Ovis aries: one gene and its partners. The protein of the gene in region 3 binds, or shares a complex with, the protein of the main gene of each other region. Links are inferred from orthologs where the notes say so. Each region holds a gene or a part of one and is shown on either strand. Other genes may lie near its edges. The genes, in order: DOCK5, RHOG and ELMO1.

Region 1 (3,649 bases), on a different chromosome or scaffold from region 3:
TCTTTTGACTTAAAACTTAATTTATAATCTTTTAATTTCATGCTATAATAGCCATACCACAAAAATAACCTGTTCAAATGGTCTTCTACCTGGAAATTAAATGTTTTTTATTTCTTAAATTATTTATCCATCCTTTTACATTGACATAGTTATCTTTACATAGGTGCAGATTAGCACATGGATAGAGTTTGGTAATTTGCTTTTTCCTCTTTGTCTTTTTATTATAAGCACTATTCATGCTGCTATATAATTTTTTTTCATCATTTTTGATGGCTGTTTATCACTGTAGCATATGAATGTGCCATAATGAGTTCTTCTCCCTATAATGGGACGTTTTAGCTGTGTCACTCTAAACAGATAATCATAAAAGTTCATTATAAATTTAATATAAAAGCATTTAGGTTGTATCAATATAAAATGCATTTATATTATTAGTAGCATGTATTTGTGTATATTTAGCTTTACGCTCACTTAAGATATATTCTCATATCATTTCTAAGCCTTTTGGTTAACATGGAGTATAGGATGTACTTCCAAAAGCATGTATGACCTATTCAGGAGAGGTTTTTTTTTTTTTTTTAATTTTTATTGGAGAATAGTTAATTTACAATGCTGTATTAGTTTCAGGTGGACAACAAAGTGATTCAATTTTACATATACATGAATTCAGTCTTTTTTAGATTCTTTCTAATTCTTACTGTATTATCACAAATACTAATATGCAATGCCATATGAAATATATGAGTGGCTATATCATTTTTCATAATATATTCACTTACATTAGGTATTGATTATTTTTAATCTTGTAAATTCCTAAAGATTAAACAATACCTGGTTTGCTTTTCTCTTTTATGGTTTCCGTCATGCTGTTAAAGAGATAATACTTACTTTGTGGAAGGGCTTTCCTGGTGGCTCAGATGGTAAAGAATCTGTATGCAGTGTGGGAGACCTGGGTTCAATCCCTGGGTTGGGAATATCTCCTGGAGAAGGGCATGAAAATCCATTCCAGTATTCTTGCCTGGAGAATCCCCATGGAAAGAGGAACCTGGAGGGCTACAGTCCATGGGGTCACAAAGAGTCATGTAGAAGTTCTGTTCTCTTCACTAAGACTCTTTTCTTAATTGAACTCTGGCCCATTAAAAAAAATTTTTTTTTCAAGTAGCTGTTGAGAACCAGAGACCCCCTAATTGCTATCCATTAGGGCAGTAAACAGAGCAGATGACTGGGGTCCTCTTCTTGCTGTGACCCCAGGCAAGGTGGGTTATTGCTCTTGCCCGCATTTGCCCAATGAATAAGAAGACATCATTGAACTTCCCTGTCAGTCCAGAGGTTAAGACTCTGTGCCTCCAATACAGCGGATGTGGGTTTGATCCCTGGTCAGAGAACTAGATCTCACATGCTACACAGGGTGGCCAAAAAAAAATTTTTTTTAATTAAAACAATGCTTACTATTTTCCCCTTTATAACTTTATATTTTTTCCCTTTATAAATATGCAGTTTAGGGAGAGATATTTCAAAATATCTCTAGACTCTCTTGTTTCTCATCAAATTCTTCCCCTCTGTATGTTAGCATCTAATCATGATTCTTACTATGGCATTTAAAATTTGTCAGTGTAATTAAAAAAAATTTTTTTTGAGCAGTTCTCCTATATGCTGGGGCTTCCCAGGTGGCACAGTGGTAAAGAATCAAAAAAGACAAAAAAGACACAGAGTCGACCTCTGGGTCGGGAAGATCCCCTGGAGAAGGAAATGGCAAAACCACTCCAGTTTCTTGCCTGGGAAATTCCATGGACAGAGGAGCCTGGTGGGCTACAGTCCATGGGGTCACCAGGAGTTGGACATTCTGAGCATGCATGCACCTATTTGCTAGGTACTGTTGTAACTATTTTGTAATAACCCTTTGAAAATGAAAGAAGTATTAGTTGCTCAGTTGTGTCTGACCCTTTGAGACCCCATGGACTGTAGCCCACCAGGCTTCTCTGTCCATGGCATTCTCTAGGCAGGAATACTGGAGTGGGTTAGCCATTGCCTTCTCTAGGGGATCTTCCCAACGCAGGGGTCAAACCTGTGTCTCCCACTCTGCAGGCAGATTCTTTACTGTCTAAGCCACCAGGGAAGCCCTAATAACCTTATGAGATAGATATTATTATTATCCCCATTTTTACAGATAAGGAAACTGAGGTATGAAAAAATTATCTGCCCAAGATCACCCAGCAAGTAAATGTAGGTAAGATTTGAATGCAGGCTGTAGGGCTCCAGGACTTGTGCTCTTATCCACTATATAATGCTGCCTGTTCATCTTTTACTCCCTTTACTTATAAGTTTAGGTAAGATCTTATCTTCCTAGCATAAGATAAATATTCACTAGTATGTTCTTGACGTGCTTGGATGGCCTCATTTCTGTACTTAGACCTTGAGATGTTCATTTGGCAGTTGGAAGTTGGATTTAGAACCTGAGAAGGAAGCCACAGGTTAAAGTGCTGTTGAAAAGTCGTATCCTCTGGTTTTTGGGCATCAGTTTTCACTATCAGGTGATCAGTATTTTCTGACTTTGTCCTTGTTTGTAGCTGACAGTTCAGTCTTTTGTTTTGCTTTGTTTTTTTACATGTAGTTGATTTATAATGTTGTGTTAATTTCTACTGTATTGCAAAGTGACTTGGTTATACATCATATATATTCTTTTTCATAGTCTTTTCCATCATGGTTTATCACAGGATACTGAATAGAGTTTCCTGTGCTGTAAAACAGGACCTTGTTGTTTATCCAGCCTCTTTTACTAGTTTGCATCCACTCATGCCAGCCTCCCAATCCTTTCCTCCCCAATCCCTGATAGGTCCGTCCTGGAGCCACTATTGGAGCGCAGGGCCTCGTCAGGGGCCAGAGTGGAAGATCTGTCCCTCAAGGAGGAGAGCGAGACTCGGATGAGCAAGTTCAAGATTAAAGACTGGAGTCTGAGCAAGTCCCAGGCCACCACAGAGAAAGTGCCAGAACCTGATCTGATGGTAAAAACAAAAAACCCAAAACAAGATGACTGTAAGTTTTCCGCCATGTCCCCTGTAGGCAGGCTTTTCACCATTGACATCATAACTGTGAGTGACTAGGCTGAAGCCTGTCATGCTGTCTCAGGACACAGCAGCCTGGGGATGGGCTCAGATCTCAGATGGTGCTAAGAAAACCAGGTACAGAGATCTAACTTTCTAAATCAATAACGACACAAGATCTACCCTCAGTGAAAATATGTGGATTGACGCTTAGGGTTGTGGTTCTCCCCACCATGTTCCATGAGCCCATCCAAACATTGTCATTTCCCTTCTTTTAGTTTAAAAAAAAAAAAAAAGTACTTTTTCTTCCATAAGCCACATCATGTTGTTAAATGTGGTGGGACCAGATATCCCTGAGAATCAGGGTGGCTCATCTCCAAACTAAATGACGCAGCCCATTGGCTAGTCAGAAGATAGTCTGTGGACCAGGGATTCCCTATTTGTGTCTTCACCCTCGTACCTTCCACGTTCTAGTGCGGTAAATGTACAGAGGGCTCCTGGAATTTTGCCCCTTAACAAGATTCTGCTCTGCAGACAGGGTTGTTTAAGGAGTATTGATGAGTTCGACCCTCCTCACTGTGACAGTGTGTTCTTTGTTTCCCCCACCC
Region 2 (4,323 bases), on a different chromosome or scaffold from region 3:
TCTTCTTTTCAGTTGCTCAGCTACCTGCATTCTAATATCTTCCCAACTGTCTCACTACAGCCACAACCTCTAAAATCTTCCTGCTCATGACCCCCTAAAAATTTACGCCAGCCACTTCATCTGTCGTAACATCTTGCCAGAAACAACTCTCCGTATCCTAGATTCTCAACCAGGATCTTGACCTGAGTCACTTCTCTTCATGTCAAGAGACCCTGACCATAGTTTTTTTAGCCAAGACCTCAATGGCAGCCTCCTACAGCAGGTACATATTCCTCACCTCCACCCTCTGCAAAATATTTCCCCACTTAGATTCCCTGCACCTTGGTTATATTTTTCCGGTGGTGACTTTCATGCAATTAGCTCAAATCTTCAGTGGGGCCAGGTCTTGTCTGGGAGAACCCCTGTTTCATCCATCCTATCTTTTCTCTTAGAATCCTGTCGGTTGCTCAGTTATCTAAAATAAGTACTGGTTTGGTAGGTGGGAAGTCAGGACTCCTGGGTGGTTTTTTAACTGAGCCTTGATGCTGGGAAATTCCTTGCATATATGTCTTCCCTTGAGCTGGGATTTTTATGCAGGTCCTTGGGACTTCCTGCTGGGGCCAAAACTCTATACCTCCCAGAATGTCAGTAGGAAACAATCATGGGAACAGACAACTGTGAGAAGGGAAGGAGACATAATGGGGTACAGGAATGGCCCTTAAACCTAGCTGTGCTTGGGAATCCCACAAAAGTAGCACTTGCTCTCCTCCACTTCTCTTCTAGTGGAGAGAAATGAACAGAGTAGGCCTGAGAAGAGAGGGAAGCATGATCTCTCAGCATGCATCCCAAAGGCTCTAGAATGGAGACAGCAAGGCTTACAAAGAGCCAGGCTGGATTTCAGTTAGACTTGGAAGAAACTCCCAAAAGAGAGGGAATAAGCTCTTAGGTGAGAGGGGGAATATTAAGGATGCCTGAGGAAGAGGGGTAAGCAGAACTCTAGAGAGCTTCCTGGTCACCAAGGCTTTGATGCAGCCCAGGGCACGTGGAATCTGGCCTGGGCAGGCCCTGAAAGCAGCAGGAAAGAGCAGGCAGACACCTTTGCCTCATACCCCTCTTTTTTTCCTGAACTGGAACTAAGACATTTAAGATTGAAGTTAAACCAGCCATAGTCTTCCCTCTTGAACCCTGTACTTTCCTTCCATCACACCTAGCTGACCTGGTCCCCTTCTCCCCACCAGGAGGTGCTGGAACAAGTGAGCAATGGAGTCAGGGACTTTTAGGCTGTCCCCCAGGCTCCAGGCCTGGCCTCTTGACCAAGCACCTAAGGGTCTGGGAGATTTTGATTTCCCACGGCCTCTCTCACCAGTCCTATTCAATATTGTGTCACTCTACCCTGATACTCCGAATGCTACAGACTGCTTCCTCCTACCTAACCACAACCTCACCCAATGCAGGTTCCCTTCATTCTGCTGGCTTCCCCTGCTCTGGGCCCTCTCAAGGCTGAGGGCAGTTATTTTGTCTCCAAAAGATAAAGATATGTACATGTAGACACTTGCACGCACATACACATCTACAGGTTTTCCAAACCCTTCATCACTTTTATCAAGGGGAGGCTGCAGCCCACCTCATTGAACTAGGGTGGTCCAGTTCCCCAAAGCGGGAGATTCATTACTGAAAGGGAAGAAGACAGGGATCCATCACAGTGAGGGCAGATGGAAGAATCAAGAGGGTGGATATGTGTGCGGAGCCAGAAGCTGGGCAAGGAAGGGAGCAGGGAGGCCACAGGGAGAGGACAAGGATGGACAGAGAAGCAGGGCAGGGGAGAGGTCAGGGGCCAGGCATGACTGTGTGTTTGGGGAAAAAGCAACTGAAGAGGATACGAGAAGAGGGTGACAAAGGGTTCGCGGGTAGAGTCTGAAGAAGGAATGGAGGAAGACAGAATAACATGTAGAATTCAGGGACTAACAATGGGGGAGAGGGAAGACTAGGAGATGGCTCATCATTTTCCAAGGCTAGAGTCTTTGTGGCCTCCCAGAAGCCCTATTCTCTCCATCTCCTAAAAAACAGTCCTGCTCTCAGTGAGGCCCTCTCGCTAAGGATGATCAGCACCTCCGAGTAAGAGCCCTTCCACTTCTGTAACAGGGGAAGACCTGGTTCCTTTCCTTCCTCCGTCTACCCCGCCAATGAGCAGTGGCAGGCATCGGCCAGCTAGGCACAGCCGATGTTTGCTCACTACAATACTTGTTTCTCCGTTCCAGAGATGGAGAGGTTTTGCTTCAGACAGAGACACACAGAGAGAAGCACTAGGGTCGACCGGGGTTCCCCCACCTCCTGAGCACAGAGGACCTTGGGCTGCAGTCTGGACTGGCCTTGATCTTCCAGCGAAGGAGCTCCTTCTCCGCAGCCCAGGGCTTCAGAGGCAATAGACAGCCTCTCTCTCTACCTCACAAGTGTCACAACTGCCAGAGGAGTTCTCTAGCCCAGGGGCCCCTTCCCCTCAACACACTTCAGAACAGCCCTCCCGCAACTCCTGGGGGCACCCCATCTCTGAGTCTCATCTCCCAGCTCTGAGCTCTTCCCCTCAAGAGACTTTTCTCTCGGAGCGGGAGCCCCTCCGACCTCAGGAGTCCCTCGCGGCTCCCGGGGGCCGGTATCGCCGCCATCGGTACAGGAACCCCCACCCTCCCGGAGCCGTCGCCGGGTCGCAGTGGCCCGTGCCCGTCCCCGCCCCGCCCGGCCGGCCGCACCCGCCCAACTTGGAGCGAGCCGAGCACCTCCCGCCGCGGCCTCCCGAAGCCAAACTTCCCGGGCCTGCGCTCGCGTCCAGTCCCGGGCCGGCCGGGCTCCCTTCCCCCGGACCCTCAGCCCGCCGGCCGGGGCCGGGCCTCACCTGGTGCCCTCCCCGCTGCGGGGGAGCTGGGGGCGGCGGCAGCGGCTCGGGGCTCGAGAAGGAAGTGAGAGCGGGAGGCCGGAGGAAGTGGGGGGGGCGGGCCCGCCGGCGGGGCGGGGCGCGGGAGCGGGCCGGGCCGGGGCGGGGCCCGACCAGGAAGTCCGCGGGCCGGTCCCCCCCACCCCAGGTCGCCCCCAGCCGGTTGGCCCCCGGCCGGGTGCTGGCTCCCTCACCCCAGCCCTTTACCTCTGAGGCCCTTTAGGTCAGGGCGTCTAAGGTCAGTCCTCCCAGTCTCCTTGCCACCCGCAGCCCAGCAGAGGCCCTAGCCTAGGCGCTTGGATTTTGTGCCCCTCTCACCGTATCTTGCCCCCACCCACCCCTGCGAGAAGATGCTGAGAACGGGCGCCCCTAGGCCTGGTGCCTTCAGTCAAGCCCCGGGATCGAGCGATGGCCCAGGCTGGGATTTGGCCAGAATGGGTCCGGCTGGGACAGTCCCCACCCCTGCCCCGAGCCCCGGGGGAGCGCGGGGTGGCGGTGATTCAGCAGTGGGAAGGCCCCAGACCCCTGGGAAGGGTGCGGAGACTGGGGGAAGGGGAGCTGGCGTCAGCACCCGGGGAAAGACAAGATCAGCAGAGGCGCAGGCGGAGCCGCGGGCCCCAAAAACAGGATGTCGTGTCGTCGTTCCGCACCCGGCGGCTCCGCGCGCCTGGGCTCCGGCGAAGAAGCGGGGCGGGGCCAGGACGTGGGGCTCCCCTCGCCCCCTCTTCTCGCTGGGGCGCGCAACTGCTTGGGACAGAAGGACCGCACCCAGTCCTGAATCCTGCCGGGGCCCTGGGGATGGGCGGGTGGGCGGACTCGTGGGCGCCCTCTGGTGCTTCTGCTCTTAGGCCTTGCGCGTGGAGCTCTGACTTGAGAAAATATTCTTCGTCCAACACAAACTTTCTGAGTGCCTACCACGTGGAGGGCTGCGTGCTAGGTGCTGTGGAGGAAAACAGAGACGTTAACGAAAGGCTCCTTGTCTCCAAGAGGCTTTCCAGAGAAAGAGGAAGAACAACTCTTAGAATAAACTGTTCAACTTTTCTGAGCCTCCATTCTATCTTTGGCAATTTAGAATGACATCCCCTTCATCCTGCAGTTGTGAAGATGAGAATGGATGTAAAAGGCCTGCTGCCAGTGGCTGGCTCACAGTAAACACTCCAAATGCTTCTTTTCCTCTTTTTAAAAATCGTGTTAATGTAAGAATGAGTTCCCAAAACACAACGTGCCTGCCCATATCTTTGGGTCTTTGTGCATTCTATTCCTTCCACCTAACTTCTGTATTGACTGCCTGGCGAAATAGACTCAGCCTTTCACAATGGATCACTGCCTCCAACGAGACACACACACACACACACACACACACACGCCACCTCTGGCTTGCACTTGGTAGTCTCTCCCAGTGCTGTCTAGTCGAA
Region 3 (2,610 bases):
GCATTCTTTTCCATTGATAAATTTGTGCCTTCAAAGTGTGGTGTGTTTCATTTGGACAGTTTTATAAATTATATAATGGTAAGGAAGAAAAAAATAAAAGATAAAGTCAGTCAGGAGGTAACAGTGTAAAATGAATAGATTATAAATACATATTTTTAATTTTTTTAAATATCTGTTTTTTAAAAAGTATTTAATATGATCACTATACAGCATGTGAGATCTTAGTTCCTTGGCCAGGGATCAAACCCGTGCCCCTGAAGTGGAAGCGCAGTCTTAACCACTAGACCACCAGGGAAGTCCCTACATTATATTTTTATGAAGTAGGTCTGATTCTCTAGCTGACTTGAGATGGTCTTCTTAGAAGGATCATTCTTTACTGATGCTCAGAGCCTCCAGCAAAGGTCAAGAGTCCCCAAAGGCAGTGGTTCTCAGCCTTTAATATGCATGAGCATCACCTGATTCTTCAAGGTTGGGGTGAGGTTTAGATTCTGCAGTTTCAACAAGCTCTCAGTGATGCTGATGACTGAGCAGCAGAACCTAAATTACCAAATCAAAACATCAGCTCTCCAACTCATCACAATTAATTTTATTCCACAGCATGTTTAGAGGAATGTTATTCTCAGGAAGATGTTTAGGACTCAAATAATTAAACAAAAAAACCTGGAAAGTACACACATTTATGTATTCTTCTTTTCATTAAATATATATCTGTTTGGCAAAAAATGTTAGACTCTTTTATACAAAAACAAAGCAAAAAAAAAAACAAACCACCAACCCCCAAAACCAACAACCCAAACCGTTTGCAAATTGTCAATACCTGTAATAACTACAATGATGTAAACTTGGATGTCTGACAGTTTGACCATCTTGTGGAACCTGTGTTGCAGCAGAACCTCCCAGACCCTTACAAAGCAACTGCCTATCATCGAGGCTTTTAGATTTAGTACATTAGAGATAAAGCAGGACGACTGATTTCAGCATTGTGCTTTCAGCTAAGGGGCTGGAGGAGTATGTGGCAATGAAGAAGGCAGGTCAGGGCTGGGGCAGGGAGAAGAAACCCAAGACTAGCGGAGAGACAGAAAGGGTGGTCACAGTCACAGGGCAGACGTGATGTGGCCACGGGACCCTCAGATTGTGTCTGGTGACCCAACGTTTGCGAGAACTAGGATGAGGCAACTGCTGCTGCTCTTGGGACCAGAGAGGAAGTGGGCAGGCAGAGGCCAGAATGGGGGAGGGGGGGCATTTAGAAGCAGATTTCAATTCACATGGAACTGGTGGTGTGAGCAGACCCTAGAGAGAAGGGGAACGAGGAGTGGTGTTTGTCTTCTCAAGTAGCTAGATCGTTTCCGGTTCTTCCAGACCCAGAGCTTGAGGCACACCCCTGTGTCTGGCTGCAGATTGGGAGGAGGTCTGGGCTGCTGGCTTGGAGCCTCTAGGAGGGGAGGACTTGCCTGCTGGAATGAAGATGGAAGGGCCCTTTGGCTCTCTCATTGGTGGTGGATTTTGCTTTTCTCCCACCTTCGACTGCAGCGACGGGAGGTGACCTAAAGCAATGGAGTCTAGAAACAGAATCGGGGTGGTGAGCAGGATGCCACGGAGGGGCAGAAAAATGCCAGAGTTAGAGGAGGCAAGGCCAAAGGAAGTGTGGACCCACAGCGTCCCTTGACCACAGCGGATTCCACGGTGTGGGCGCCTTTTCATTCTTCTCTCCTATTAGCTAAATCTTCCAGTTTTGGAGGGGGTGCATCTGGGCCCAGGGTGCTTCAATTACAGTCATAGACGAAGTCATAGTTGCTGGGCTCCTTGGGGATGGGTGGAGGCGCGTCGGGGATCTGAATGTTTTCCAGGTCCAGGAGGCGGAGCTTGATTTCCATGCTGAGCAGCGTGTCCAAGTCATTCCGTGTCAGGTCACTCATCATGTCCTTCCCCAGCAGCGCATTCAGCCCATCTGTCCAGATGCAGTACTGGGGAGAAAGAAGGTGACAATGAGAACGACTGATGACAACGGCGAGAGGAGTAACAACAGCTAACACCGACTGATCACTCAGCAAGGGCTGGGCTCTGTGCTAAGGGCTTTGCCTACATCATCATTTGATAGTCAGCACCTCTATGAAGCTGACACTTCTGTTAGCATCTCTGTTTTACAGATGAGGGAACTGAGACAGTGAGAAATTAAGTCACTTGGCAGTACGTGGAGTAGGTGGGATTTGAACTTATGCAATCTGCCTCTATTGTCTGCACTCTTCCATATAAATAATGCCTCCCTACACAGCAGCAGGAGGATTTGAGTTTTTTCTGCCTGTGCAACAGACTATCTCTAACATCCCACCACTGAATCAAAGAGTTAAAGGTATTGGTAGAATATATCCTAACACTCCTGGACTCGACATCAGATCAAACTCTCCTGACTCCGAGCAAAGTTCTAATCTAGAGTTAATATCTGACTATCCTGTTTGATTTCTGCACTCAAAACGATAGTCGAACCCCAACCTGGGGCTAACGGTGGTCCCACCTTTGTATTTCTTAGCAAAAGATTTAGGAATAGCTCAGTGCTGCCCAAGGTCTGGTGGACAAAATGACTAAAATTATTGGGTGATTTTAATGGAAGGT

What was found.
Region 1: the proteins of ELMO1 (region 3) and DOCK5 are in contact, whole or in part, in a cryo-EM structure (PDB 8JHK), measured with the Homo sapiens proteins. The link is inferred for Ovis aries from reciprocal best matches to the Homo sapiens genes ELMO1 and DOCK5. Residues at the interface, in NP_001193409.1 of Homo sapiens: Ile7, Val8, Lys9, Ala11, Tyr18, Pro19, Leu21, Glu23, Glu36, Asp39, Gly40, Ser42, Asn71, Gly72, Gln392, Asp393, Leu400, Glu401, Lys468, Arg531, Glu535, Leu536, Lys539, Leu547, Gln550, Gln551, Asn554, Arg555, Asn582, Thr688; in NP_079216.4 of Homo sapiens: Met1, Ala2, Arg3, Trp4, Val14, Ala15, Ile16, Tyr17, Asn18, Ser22, Gln23, Gln30, Ile31, Gly32, Asp33, Thr34, Glu39, Tyr41, Gly43, Trp44, Arg46, Tyr48, Lys56, Ile58, Pro60, Glu61, Thr62, Tyr63, His65, Leu66.
Region 2: the proteins of ELMO1 (region 3) and RHOG are in contact, whole or in part, in a crystal structure (PDB 7Y4A), measured with the Homo sapiens proteins. The link is inferred for Ovis aries from reciprocal best matches to the Homo sapiens genes ELMO1 and RHOG. Residues at the interface, in NP_001193409.1 of Homo sapiens: Lys9, Val10, Ala11, Glu13, Tyr18, Pro19, Leu21, Met22, Ala54, Asn71, Gly72, Ile74; in NP_001656.2 of Homo sapiens: Val36, Phe37, Asp38, Trp56, Tyr64, Arg66, Leu67, Leu70, Ser71, Pro73, Gln74.

What each region holds. Positions count from the first base shown.
Region 1 is NC_056055.1:40,236,033-40,239,681, reverse strand, and holds part of DOCK5 (dedicator of cytokinesis protein 5), read left to right. Parts: intron 1-2,833; coding exon 2,834-3,002; intron 3,003-3,649. UniProt on the Homo sapiens protein: Guanine nucleotide exchange factor (GEF) for Rho and Rac. GEF proteins activate small GTPases by exchanging bound GDP for free GTP. Along with DOCK1, mediates CRK/CRKL regulation of epithelial and endothelial cell spreading and migration on type IV collagen.
Region 2 is NC_056068.1:49,994,313-49,998,635, reverse strand, and holds the start of RHOG (rho-related GTP-binding protein RhoG), read right to left. Parts: upstream 2,936-4,323; 5' UTR 2,326-2,935; exon of another isoform or gene 2,308-2,325; intron 1-2,307.
Region 3 is NC_056057.1:62,040,968-62,043,577, reverse strand, and holds the end of ELMO1 (engulfment and cell motility protein 1), read right to left. Parts: intron 1,965-2,610; coding exon 1,764-1,964; 3' UTR 566-1,763; downstream 1-565. UniProt on the Homo sapiens protein: Involved in cytoskeletal rearrangements required for phagocytosis of apoptotic cells and cell motility. Acts in association with DOCK1 and CRK. Was initially proposed to be required in complex with DOCK1 to activate Rac Rho small GTPases.